Saccharomyces cerevisiae S288C: one gene and its partner. The gene in region 1 interacts genetically with each later gene. Each region holds a gene or a part of one and is shown in the gene's direction. Other genes may lie near its edges.

Region 1 (8,444 bases):
GAAAAGATTGCGGATGATAGCGTCGTTCGCGAATCCCATTGATTCTATGAAGCCGCATCCAGGGTCTAAATTATTGCGCACGTTTTTCGGTGTGGTACACACTTTAGTCAATTGTGTTGTAAAAATCGATTGTTGAAGATGCCACCTAATGTGGTCGCTTTCTCATGAAAATTGATGGCGAAGGTTTAACCTCCCAATTCTGTTGTTTGCAGACATTCATTAGACCAAGGTATTACTGACGGGCTATATGCGGTTAGCCGGTCATTGTAGTTTCACTTCTAAAGTGTACAGTAACGTTTTGAAAGTTTCCTTTCTCAAATTGTCTATCGTACTAACATTGCATCAACAAATCGTGTTCGAACCGCCCAAACTCTCACTTCTGCGGTATGGTTTTTTTAGCTTGGTGTCATAAACTTGTCCATTAGACAAGCAAGGTCATTGCGGATTCAGCTAAATATGGGAAATAAAACAAATTTTTAGGGCTAGGGCAATTGTTCCTTGGGAGCAAAAAATTAGGGCCCGGATATAGTCTTGCACAAGCTGTACAGTTGCTTATATGACGGCAGACGGTATTTATGTAAGCACCTTAGTAAAATAACTTTGTATGAGACATTCCTGGGCCGTAATATGATAGCTTTTAGCTTGTGAATGATGGCACCCACATCCTGTCTAAATAATTTTAATCTCGCACGCCGTTCTAGCTTGTGGTCGTGGTTTGTCTTGTTCAAAACGTAAAGCAATTCCCTCGCGTAAAAGTCTTGATAAACGCCCTTTCGCTGCAAAAGACCCACGCTTTTGCTATTTGATTTTTCTTGATAGTTTGACAATTCAATAAGTTTATAGTTTGATTTATCCTTTCAATTTTACACTTGTTAATGACATACTGAGAGCTCATTGGATGGAAGAAAGCATAAACGTAAATCAGGGTCCTGAGTGTCTGGGTGCTGTCTACGTTAGTACTATTCGGCTGCATTATATTCCCAATTCACAAATAAATTAGGCTCATAACCGTAATTTTATTCGAGACATTTTTGGTTACTTCAAAATATTGTTATTATATAAAGATCATATAAAGTTCTTGGACAAGATTGGATACATTTAGTTTTATTTTTGAAAATCACAAAGATGAAACAAAATAAAAAATGTCAGCGTGCCGCATTGAAAGGTAAAAACTAAAATTAATGAACTTTTCTAATAAAGATGAAAGGGAGAAAACAGTATACATTGTAGCAGAGCGTTTAGAAGGAGTACTCAGAAAGTTCTAAAAAGGCCTTATTTCAAACTCATGAAGAAAAAAAATTTCCATGAATGAATGATTGTATGATTGTATTGGCATGTAATATCTGCAGGATCCACTCAATCTTGAAAAGATACTGTAGAGGAATACCCGAACAACAAATAAATCATGTTACAACTCTTTGACGGCGAAGGGTGTGGCTACCGTGCTGCAACATTTTAGTTACTGCTGGTACATTAAAATTGGGAAGATGTCCAAGAGAAGAACATGTTCTGCTATCGAATCTCTCACGATATATATATATATATATTTATATGACTCACCTGGTAAAACATCTATGTTTCGTTTCATATGAGGGCTTAGGTACCATTCTTTTAGAGTTAAGATCTCTTATTGTGGAAAAAAGAAGTTGAACGTGATTTCATTTGTTTATTGTGCTAGTGGCTGGAAATATGAAAACTTTTGCTCTTGCAACGTACCTTTTTACTTAATGTCTTATATTTGAACACTGCTATCCCAGCTACACAACGCATTTTCTGAAGGAAGAGAGTTTAGAAGAAACCTTTCTCTGTCCATCGCTATAATCAGCCGTTTCTTTTTCGCTTCCTTACGAAGTAAAGGGTGTCCCTTTATAACGTAAGCGTCCAAAATGCAGTTATTAATATACTCCATTGCACGCAAAGAAATTTCAAGGAAAGTATCCGGGAATTCTGATATTTTACACTTGCACTAATATACTCTTATTAGAAGTAGTGATGGTAGACCTCAAATCAATCTAAACATAATGGATTTCCATACTGTTAAAGACGGCGATACGGAATTGAGGTGTCCTATTCCCGACACTTTTGATGCGTCAGCTATAATCAAATCTTATGTTAAATAAGCTTCTGAACAAGGGATTCATCTTCGTAAGGCAGGTGTAGCCATGGAATGCGTTTCAGTAGAAGGTTTGGATTCTTCTTTTTTGGAGGGCCAAACCTTTGGCGATATTTTGTGTTTACCATGGACAATTATCAAGGGTATCCGTGAGCGGAAGAATCGCAATAAGATGAAGATCATTTTGAAGAATGTCAGTTTGCTGGCTAAATCAGGAGAGATGGTCCTTGTCCTAGGAAGACCAGGCGCTGGCTGTACATCATTTTTAAAGAGCGCTGCTGGTGAGACCAGTCAGTTTGCAGGTGGTGTAACAACAGGACATATATCGTACGATGGTATCCCTCAGAAAGAAATGATGCAACATTACAAGCCAGATGTAATCTATAATGGTGAGCAAGATGTTCATTTCCCACATTTGACAGTAAAACAAACTCTAGATTTTGCTATTTCCTGTAAGATGCCCGCAAAAAGAGTCAATAATGTAACGAAAGAAGAGTATATTACTGCCAATAGAGAATTCTATGCTAAAATTTTTGGTTTGACGCATACTTTCGATACCAAAGTTGGTAACGATTTCATCAGCGGTGTATCTGGAGGTGAGCGTAAACGCGTTTCCATTGCTGAAGCATTAGCAGCGAAAGGTTCAATTTACTGCTGGGATAATGCTACAAGAGGTCTTGACTCTTCTACCGCGCTAGAATTTGCACGAGCTATTCGTACTATGACAAATCTGTTAGGTACAACGGCCCTTGTTACGGTTTACCAAGCCAGTGAAAACATTTATGAAACTTTTGATAAAGTCACTGTTCTATACGCTGGAAGACAAATATTTTGCGGCAAAACTACTGAAGCAAAAGATTATTTTGAAAACATGGGTTACTTGTGTCCACCGAGACAATCGACTGCTGAATATTTGACCGCAATTACTGATCCTAATGGTCTGCACGAAATAAAGCCTGGCTTTGAGTATCAAGTACCTCATACCGCTGATGAATTCGAAAAATACTGGCTTGATTCCCCAGAATATGCCCGCCTAAAAGGTGAAATTCAGAAGTACAAACATGAAGTGAATACTGAATGGACCAAAAAAACATACAATGAGTCTATGGCACAAGAAAAGTCGAAAGGTACAAGAAAAAAATCTTATTATACGGTCTCTTATTGGGAGCAAATTAGACTTTGCACTATTAGAGGTTTTCTAAGGATTTACGGTGATAAGTCATACACCGTTATCAACACATGCGCTGCTATAGCACAGGCTTTTATCACTGGGTCATTGTTCTACCAAGCACCTTCTTCAACTCTAGGGGCCTTTTCTAGAAGTGGCGTTCTGTTTTTTTCCCTCTTATATTATTCTTTGATGGGTTTAGCTAATATTAGTTTCGAGCACAGGCCAATATTGCAAAAACACAAGGTCTATTCACTATATCATCCCTCAGCTGAAGCGTTAGCAAGTACGATTTCTTCTTTTCCATTCAGAATGATTGGTCTAACATTTTTCATAATCATCCTGTACTTCTTAGCCGGTTTGCATAGAAGCGCCGGTGCTTTTTTTACTATGTATTTGTTATTGACAATGTGTTCAGAAGCTATTACAAGTTTGTTTCAGATGGTTTCATCTTTATGCGATACATTGTCCCAGGCCAACTCCATTGCCGGTGTTGTGATGTTATCTATTGCCATGTATTCGACGTACATGATACAATTACCTTCAATGCATCCATGGTTTAAGTGGATTTCGTACATTCTACCCATTAGATATGCATTTGAATCGATGTTAAATGCAGAATTTCATGGAAGACATATGGATTGTGGTGGCACTTTGGTTCCTTCTGGACCTGGGTTTGAAAACATCTTGCCAGAAAATCAAGTGTGTGCTTTTGTTGGTTCAAGGCCTGGCCAATCTTGGGTCCTAGGTGATGATTATTTGAGGGCCCAATATCAATATGAGTACAAAAATACTTGGAGAAACTTCGGCATCATGTGGTGTTTCTTAATTGGCTACATCGTCTTGAGGGCGGTTTTCACTGAGTACAAAAGTCCTGTCAAAAGTGGTGGTGATGCTCTGGTCGTCAAGAAGGGCACAAAGAATGCTATACAAAGATCATGGAGCAGCAAAAATGACGAAGAGAACCTTAATGCCTCTATAGCAACACAGGATATGAAAGAGATAGCTTCAAGTAACGACGATAGCACAAGTGCAGACTTTGAAGGTTTGGAATCTACCGGGGTGTTTATTTGGAAAAATGTTTCTTTCACAATTCCTCATTCTAGCGGACAACGTAAACTTCTGGACAGCGTAAGCGGTTACTGTGTTCCTGGTACTTTGACAGCATTAATAGGTGAGTCCGGCGCTGGTAAGACCACATTATTAAACACTTTGGCTCAAAGGAACGTGGGAACGATTACTGGTGATATGTTAGTTGATGGTCTCCCAATGGACGCTAGTTTCAAAAGGCGTACCGGTTATGTTCAACAGCAAGATCTTCATGTTGCTGAACTTACTGTCAAAGAATCGCTACAATTTAGTGCTCGTATGCGTCGGCCACAGTCTATTCCTGACGCTGAAAAGATGGAATATGTTGAAAAAATTATATCTATTCTTGAAATGCAGGAGTTCTCAGAAGCTCTTGTCGGCGAAATTGGTTACGGCTTGAATGTTGAACAGAGAAAGAAACTATCAATTGGCGTTGAGCTAGTTGGCAAGCCGGATCTGTTATTGTTTTTGGACGAACCGACCTCTGGCTTGGATTCCCAATCCGCGTGGGCCGTCGTCAAAATGTTAAAAAGATTAGCTCTAGCAGGTCAATCAATTTTATGTACTATTCATCAACCATCAGCTACTCTTTTTGAACAGTTTGACAGATTATTGCTTTTGGGAAAAGGCGGTCAAACAATTTATTTTGGTGAAATAGGTAAAAATTCAAGTTCTGTCATTAAGTATTTCGAAAAGAACGGAGCCAGGAAATGTCAACAAAATGAAAATCCGGCAGAGTATATTTTAGAAGCCATAGGAGCTGGGGCCACCGCTTCTGTTCAACAGAACTGGCCTGATATATGGCAAAAATCTCACGAGTATGCAAACATTAACGAAAAAATAAATGACATGATTAAGGACTTATCTTCTACAACTTTGCATAAAACAGCTACAAGGGCCTCTAAGTATGCAACATCGTATTCCTACCAATTCCATCATGTGCTGAAAAGATCCAGTTTAACATTTTGGAGAAACTTGAACTACATCATGGCCAAAATGATGTTATTGATGATCAGTGGCTTGTTCATTGGTTTTACCTTTTTCCATGTGGGTGTAAATGCTATTGGATTACAAAATAGCTTATTTGCCTGTTTCATGGCTATCGTTATATCAGCTCCTGCAACAAACCAAATACAGGAGCGTGCTACCGTTGCTAAGGAGCTATATGAAGTTCGTGAGTCCAAATCTAATATGTTTCATTGGTCTTTACTTTTGATTACCCATTATTTAAATGAATTGCCTTACCATTTATTGTTTTCAACAATTTTTTTCGTTTCATCATATTTCCCTCTGGGTGTCTTTACCGAAGCCTCTAGGTCAAGTGTTTTTTATCTGAACTATGCCATACTTTTTCAACTTTACTATATTGGTCTTGCTTTAATGATTCTGTACATGTCTCCAAATCTACAATCTGCCAATGTTATTGTAGGTTTTATACTTTCGTTTTTGCTCTCTTTCTGCGGTGCTGTCCAACCTGCCTCTTTAATGCCTGGTTTCTGGACATTCATGTGGAAACTATCCCCTTACACGTATTTTTTGCAAAATTTAGTTGGATTATTGATGCATGACAAACCCGTAAGATGTTCAAAGAAAGAGTTGTCTCTTTTCAACCCCCCGGTAGGCCAAACATGTGGTGAATTTACCAAACCGTTTTTTGAATTTGGGACTGGGTATATTGCAAATCCAGATGCAACAGCAGATTGCGCCTATTGTCAGTACAAAGTAGGTGATGAATACTTGGCGCGCATAAATGCTAGCTTTAGTTACTTATGGAGAAACTTCGGTTTCATTTAGGCTTATATCCTTTTCAACATTGCCGGTATGATTGTGGTTTATTACGTTGTTCAAGTTAAGCATTTTTCCCCTATGAAAATTGGCTTCGTAAAAAGAATAACAAGTAAATTTAAGAGAAAATGAAGAAAAAAATTGCAGGTATACTATGGGTGCAGGTGAGGCGGTTTTTTAACCGATTTAGCACACGATACTGTGAATTTTGGGTTATATGATGATGTGAATATTGCAGAAATGTAATGTTATATTATTCAAAGAAATAGGGTAACTTCTATTTATGCAAACATTGGTAATCAAGGCTATAAACACATAATCCCAAATAAGTATTTTGGTACACAGTTGATGTTTCTTTATGAATACGACTCATTAGTTCACTGTCAAATTGCCAACGTTCAGAGGGACCTACTTACAGAGCGTATGTTTTATATTTACGACGAACGCGATCTAATTATTATCCGCTGGTTAAACAGCGTAATAATGTTCATAGGGGCCTTGCATGACATTTGAATTTGAACATTACTAGAGTTCGTGAAATTTTGTCAATGAAAAAATAATGTGACAAACGTCTGCAAATAACCTGAAGAATTTTATCCGGGATAACGACAAAGCGTTAAATATAGAAACATAGTGAATGTACTGCTAGGAAAAAAATAGGCATAATTTAATCTTTATTCATATAAATGTTTTTACCAGAACTCTCTTGGTAGATAGTTTTGATATACGGTTTCCTGCTCAATTTTAGTGAGGCTGGGACGTAAAGTATTTTTTTCAAATAAACCATTTCTTGTTTCTACCTTTTTAGTACGGATTTTTTTTAGTAAGTTCTGTATTCTTTTTTAAGAGTAAAAAATATTCAGACCCCAAACTCACAAAAAGCCTACAGAGTCCGCCTGTTACGCTCAATTTAGTACTACCACTTGTGATAATATTTATTTTGGGACAGGTCCAAAAACTTTTAGGTTTAAACGTACAAACGTTGAGTTTAATCTAGATCATATATCATTATAAAGGTTTTATCTACAAGCAAGTGAAGAAACGTAACAAACGTAAAAAGCTTCAGCCTCACCTAAATATCGAATTTGTACTGAGTCTTTGAAGTGTATACCTCGCCGCGCTTCAGAAGAACACAACCTCTCCACTCATCACGGTTGATAGCATCAACGTATCTACCTTGCTGAACGGCAAATCCAGACCTTGGCACAAATTTGCCACATAAATTATCACCGGTGTACAAATGAACGGTTGGTTCTGTCGTCGAAACCTCAAATTTGATGTGAGATTCGGGATGATAGGCCTTAAAAACAGGAACCAATTTGTTGACACTCACAGAATCTGTAGTCTTCAAATCCTTGTTAGCGTCAATAATGAAAGTGCAATCAAAGACCGGAGTATCTTCATGCAAAACGGTGGGCTTAGTTGAATCAAAAGTAGCAATGTTCCTTTCAATGATCTTACCAGTTGGAAGCAATGCCCCCTCTGTAACTTCAAGCGATTTGTTCGAGCAGACCTTAACTTCTGTACCACGAATGGACTTCTCACTCTTGACTTTGTTCAAGTTAAAATACGAGTGGTTGGTCATATTAATTGGAGTAGCATCACCACGAACTAACTGTGCTTGGTATTCCATGTCTAAAGTCATTTCTGCAACATTCAAAGTGTACTTCACTGTGACTTCCAAGTCACCTGGAAACTCGTTAGGGTTGGGCTGTGTGTGATCATCCAACAATTTAAATTCAACAACGTAAACGCCCTTGGAAGGATTCTCAACAGGGGACGCCTTGTACTGCTTAAGATTTAAGGAACTGATACTGCTGTGATTTGTGTTACCACAATTGTTAACAGTTAACTTGTGAGGACCATCATCCAGGCTGAAAACACCCTTGGCGATACGGTTGGCATAACGACCAACTGTAGCGCCCATCATGTTACCATCTGTTAAATAGTCTTGTACGTTTGAATAACCTTGAACGACTGATTGGCCGTTTACCTTCAGGTCTACCAAAGTTGCACCAAGTGGCGCAATGGTAGCTTGGAACTTTTTCTCATCACCAATTGTAATGACACCATACTTATTATCACCGTTACTATTTGACATTTCGCTGTTTGTTATCTGTTTTGATTTTTTTTTTCACTGCTTATCATACAAACTGATCAATTGAGCTATCAAACTTCAACTTATCTCTGTATTTATATGCTGAAAGTATAGAGTGTACATAAAAATGTATCACATGTCTATTACATATTACGACACCCCCACAATATTTTAACTGATCTTAATAACAC
Region 2 (3,854 bases), on another chromosome or scaffold:
CTTAGCTGATTTAATTCATTTATTTGCTGTCGTTTGCATTTACTGACTAAAAAAAGTGTAAAATATGGGAAGCGCAAATTGAAAAGTCGGGTTGCGAAATTACCTGCCAAAAATCCACCTCGTTAATATCTAACAAGATTCAACGCCTGTTGACAAAAGAAACTCGTCAGTCTCTCAGTTTACTTCTATGTTTAACATATTTGCTATGATCCACTCTAGATTCTGCCCAGCCCTCAACTTCACGCCCACGTTGAGAGTACATTCAGTACGTTGAAAATACATTCAGTCACACCCGCAGCACAGCAAGTCGTTTCATCTAAGCTATTTTGATCGTTAGAATATCCACACCTCACAAGTATCGACAATTTAGATGTGTATTGGGTTTTGTCTACGCAAATACCATTAGTTTCACACAAGATGCCATCAGCGCTACTGTAAATAGATTGTTCCTCTGTTATCGTGCGAATGGAACTAGAAAACCAATAATCATTGAATAATATATGTGACAGTGACAGGCCACCAGAATAAAGCTAATATCTAGAGGGGTATTTCTTCTTGAGTGAAGAAGAAATATGCTACTTCCAAATTTTAGGACGACAAATCCTCATAATATGAATTAGGCAAATTACAGAATGAAGGGGGTTGAGAAGTCCCACAGCACATCGCTCCTTCGCTAAGAGCTCCACTGCTAAAACAGAAAAAAAAAGTATTAATCAATTGTACTACCATGTTCTTTGTTACTAAACGCGCCTATTTTTTTCGAGAGCCTTTACGAGAGTCAATCAAGCATTCTCCCGCATACTTCGCTAAGAAAAAAGTGATCTTTAATTGGGCCCTTCATCTATCATTTTTGCTTAAGTGGCGTAACTTATTTTATCATTTCCTCTCCCTGCCATCCTCTTTATTTTTGTTCTGTATCACAGCAGTTAATTCAGTTTCCATTCAAAGTATGCCACGGATAACTTGATGCTTCAAGAAGAAAAATTATTTGGCCTAAAACTTGCTGTTTCTTCACAATTTTTCTAAATGCTCTCCGATTCCCGGATTGCAGATGTTTCACTGCTCCACATTATATCCTTTGTGTCCACCTTGATAATCGATACTTTAAAGATTATTTTGTGGGAGGAGAGCCTTAGAAAGAATACGCTTGTTTTAAGAAGGAAAACAAGCGGCACCAATCTTCAATTGGTATTTTAAAATCTATTAGACGTCAAATCCCGGTTAGACTTGAGATAGATGTACCTGGAGAGAAAATCTATAATAAAAAAAAAAATACTTTCAGGTCAGATATTTCTTTTTTTGTCCCTAATAAAAAGAAATGGTATTCTGCCAAACACCAAAGTGCCAAATAAGCATTATTTTACATAGTACGAAATGGAAATTACGTCAATTATCGACATTATGACATAAAATTGGATTTAACAAGATCTCTGAATCTGATATGCTTCTTTCATTAGGGTGGAAATAACAGCATTTGAGAGAAGCAATTGCCAAGCTTCTATGAAAATTTTCTAGAAGGCAAGAGTATTTCAGACTTTCCTAATATGAAAGGACAAATTGACACTAATGTCTGATTATGGCCAATTCCTGCGGTAAATTACACGGCGATTACGGCGACATGAGCTCACATTCATCACTCTATGGGACAAATGTTTCCAAACTGGGCGCAACAAACACCTGATGTGACTCCTACCCTTTGGACAATGCAGATCCACGCTACGGCAAATTAGTCAAATGCACTAGAACATGGCGCAAGTACTTATTGTGACCTTTGGGGTACCGTTACCGTCAGTTTTCTTCAGCTAAGGCGCGCGCGCCAGATAACTAAAAAAAAATATAGTTGCTGCTTAAAAAACAATACACCCGTACTCTCTTGCCTGTAAAAACCTCGAAGGACCAAAGATACCCTCAAGGTTCTCATCTGTGCGGTATTCTTCAAATTACAATGACATTTCCCAAAATTATCAGATGTGCTCAGGTATCTTCTCTCCAATGAGATGAGACAGATGAACATATTTGACCTTGAAGGTCATGGAAAGTAGGTTGAGAGCAAATGTGTAGAACGAAATTAAGAAAAAAAGAAATTACGCACGGCATTAGCTCGATGACTTAGTTATAAATAGAGGCCTGGTATCGGCTGTCATGATCTCATCTCTTCCCTATTTACAAAAAAACTGCAAGTATAGACAATAAAACAACAGCACAAATATCAAAAAAGGAATTATGAGCAACGTTACTACGCCGTGGTGGAAACAATGGGACCCTTCTGAAGTTACACTTGCCGATAAAACCCCTGATGATGTGTGGAAGACCTGTGTTTTGCAAGGTGTTTACTTTGGTGGAAACGAGTACAATGGTAACTTAGGTGCCAGAATATCTTCCGTCTTTGTTATTCTTTTCGTGAGTACTTTTTTCACCATGTTCCCATTAATCTCAACAAAAGTGAAAAGATTGAGAATTCCTCTATATGTTTACCTTTTCGCAAAGTATTTTGGTTCCGGTGTTATTGTTGCAACCGCATTTATCCACTTAATGGACCCTGCTTATGGTGCGATTGGTGGTACCACTTGTGTAGGACAAACCGGTAACTGGGGTCTTTATTCATGGTGTCCTGCCATTATGCTAACGAGTTTGACCTTCACTTTCCTTACTGATCTATTCAGTAGCGTCTGGGTTGAAAGAAAGTATGGTCTTTCCCATGACCATACCCACGATGAAATTAAAGACACTGTTGTGAGAAACACTGCAGCTGTTTCAAGTGAGAATGACAATGAGAATGGTACTGCAAATGGATCTCATGACACCAAGAACGGAGTAGAGTATTATGAAGATTCAGACGCTACATCCATGGATGTTGTTCAATCATTTCAAGCACAATTTTATGCCTTTTTAATTTTAGAATTCGGTGTGATTTTCCACTCCGTTATGATCGGTCTAAACCTGGGAAGTGTTGGTGATGAGTTCTCCTCCCTATACCCTGTCTTAGTGTTCCATCAATCATTTGAAGGTTTAGGTATTGGTGCAAGATTGTCAGCCATTGAATTCCCTAGATCAAAGAGATGGTGGCCATGGGCCCTATGTGTTGCGTATGGGTTAACCACACCAATCTGTGTGGCCATCGGTTTGGGTGTTCGTACCAGATACGTCAGCGGTTCTTACACTGCGCTTGTTATCTCTGGTGTTTTGGATGCCATTTCTGCTGGTATCTTATTGTACACTGGTTTGGTTGAACTACTAGCAAGAGACTTTATATTCAATCCTCAAAGAACAAAGGATCTAAGAGAATTGTCCTTCAACGTTATATGCACTCTTTTCGGTGCTGGTATCATGGCTTTGATCGGTAAGTGGGCTTAAACCAAAGCGAAATTCTGCATGTTCCATATAGATTCTATTTCATATTTTATAGTTATTTATTCTTTAGTAATAGCAAAAAAACAGTAATAATTTTTCTTTAACAGTCTCGGACAATAAATACGCTAAAGAAGATGAAAATGACAACTTTTACGCTGGTGTGCACAAGTGGTACCAGAATACGTGGCCACCAAAACAATGACGGATATAGGGAGAACCAAGTCTAGAAATTACAAATGTTCTTTTGACGGTTGTGAGAAAGTCTACAACAGACCTAGTTTGCTTCAGCAACACCAAAATTCGCATACCAATCAAAAGCCGTATCATTGTGATGAGCCGGGATGTGGCAAAAAATTTATAAGACCGTGCCATCTACGAGTTCACAAATGGACTCATTCACAAATCAAGCCCAAAGCGTGCACATTATGTCAAAAAAGATTTGTCACAAATCAGCAATTAAGAAGGCATTTAAATAGTCATGAAAGAAAAAGCAAGCTTGCATC

The links. Genes that interact genetically often act in the same process or in processes that back each other up.
Region 2: of PDR18 (region 1) and ZRT1, changing one suppresses a phenotype caused by changing the other (phenotypic suppression), as found in Saccharomyces cerevisiae (one study listed by BioGRID).

Annotation. Positions count from the first base shown.
Region 1 is NC_001146.8:763,213-771,656, forward strand, and holds PDR18 (ATP-binding cassette multidrug transporter PDR18), read left to right. Parts: upstream 1-2,162; coding exon 2,163-6,164; downstream 6,165-8,444. Other genes in the region: YNR071C (aldose 1-epimerase superfamily protein), read right to left, coding at 7,228-8,256.
Region 2 is NC_001139.9:18,755-22,608, forward strand, and holds ZRT1 (high-affinity Zn(2+) transporter ZRT1), read left to right. Parts: upstream 1-2,223; coding exon 2,224-3,354; downstream 3,355-3,854. Other genes in the region: FZF1 (Fzf1p), read left to right, coding at 3,550-3,854. UniProt on the Saccharomyces cerevisiae protein: High-affinity zinc transport protein.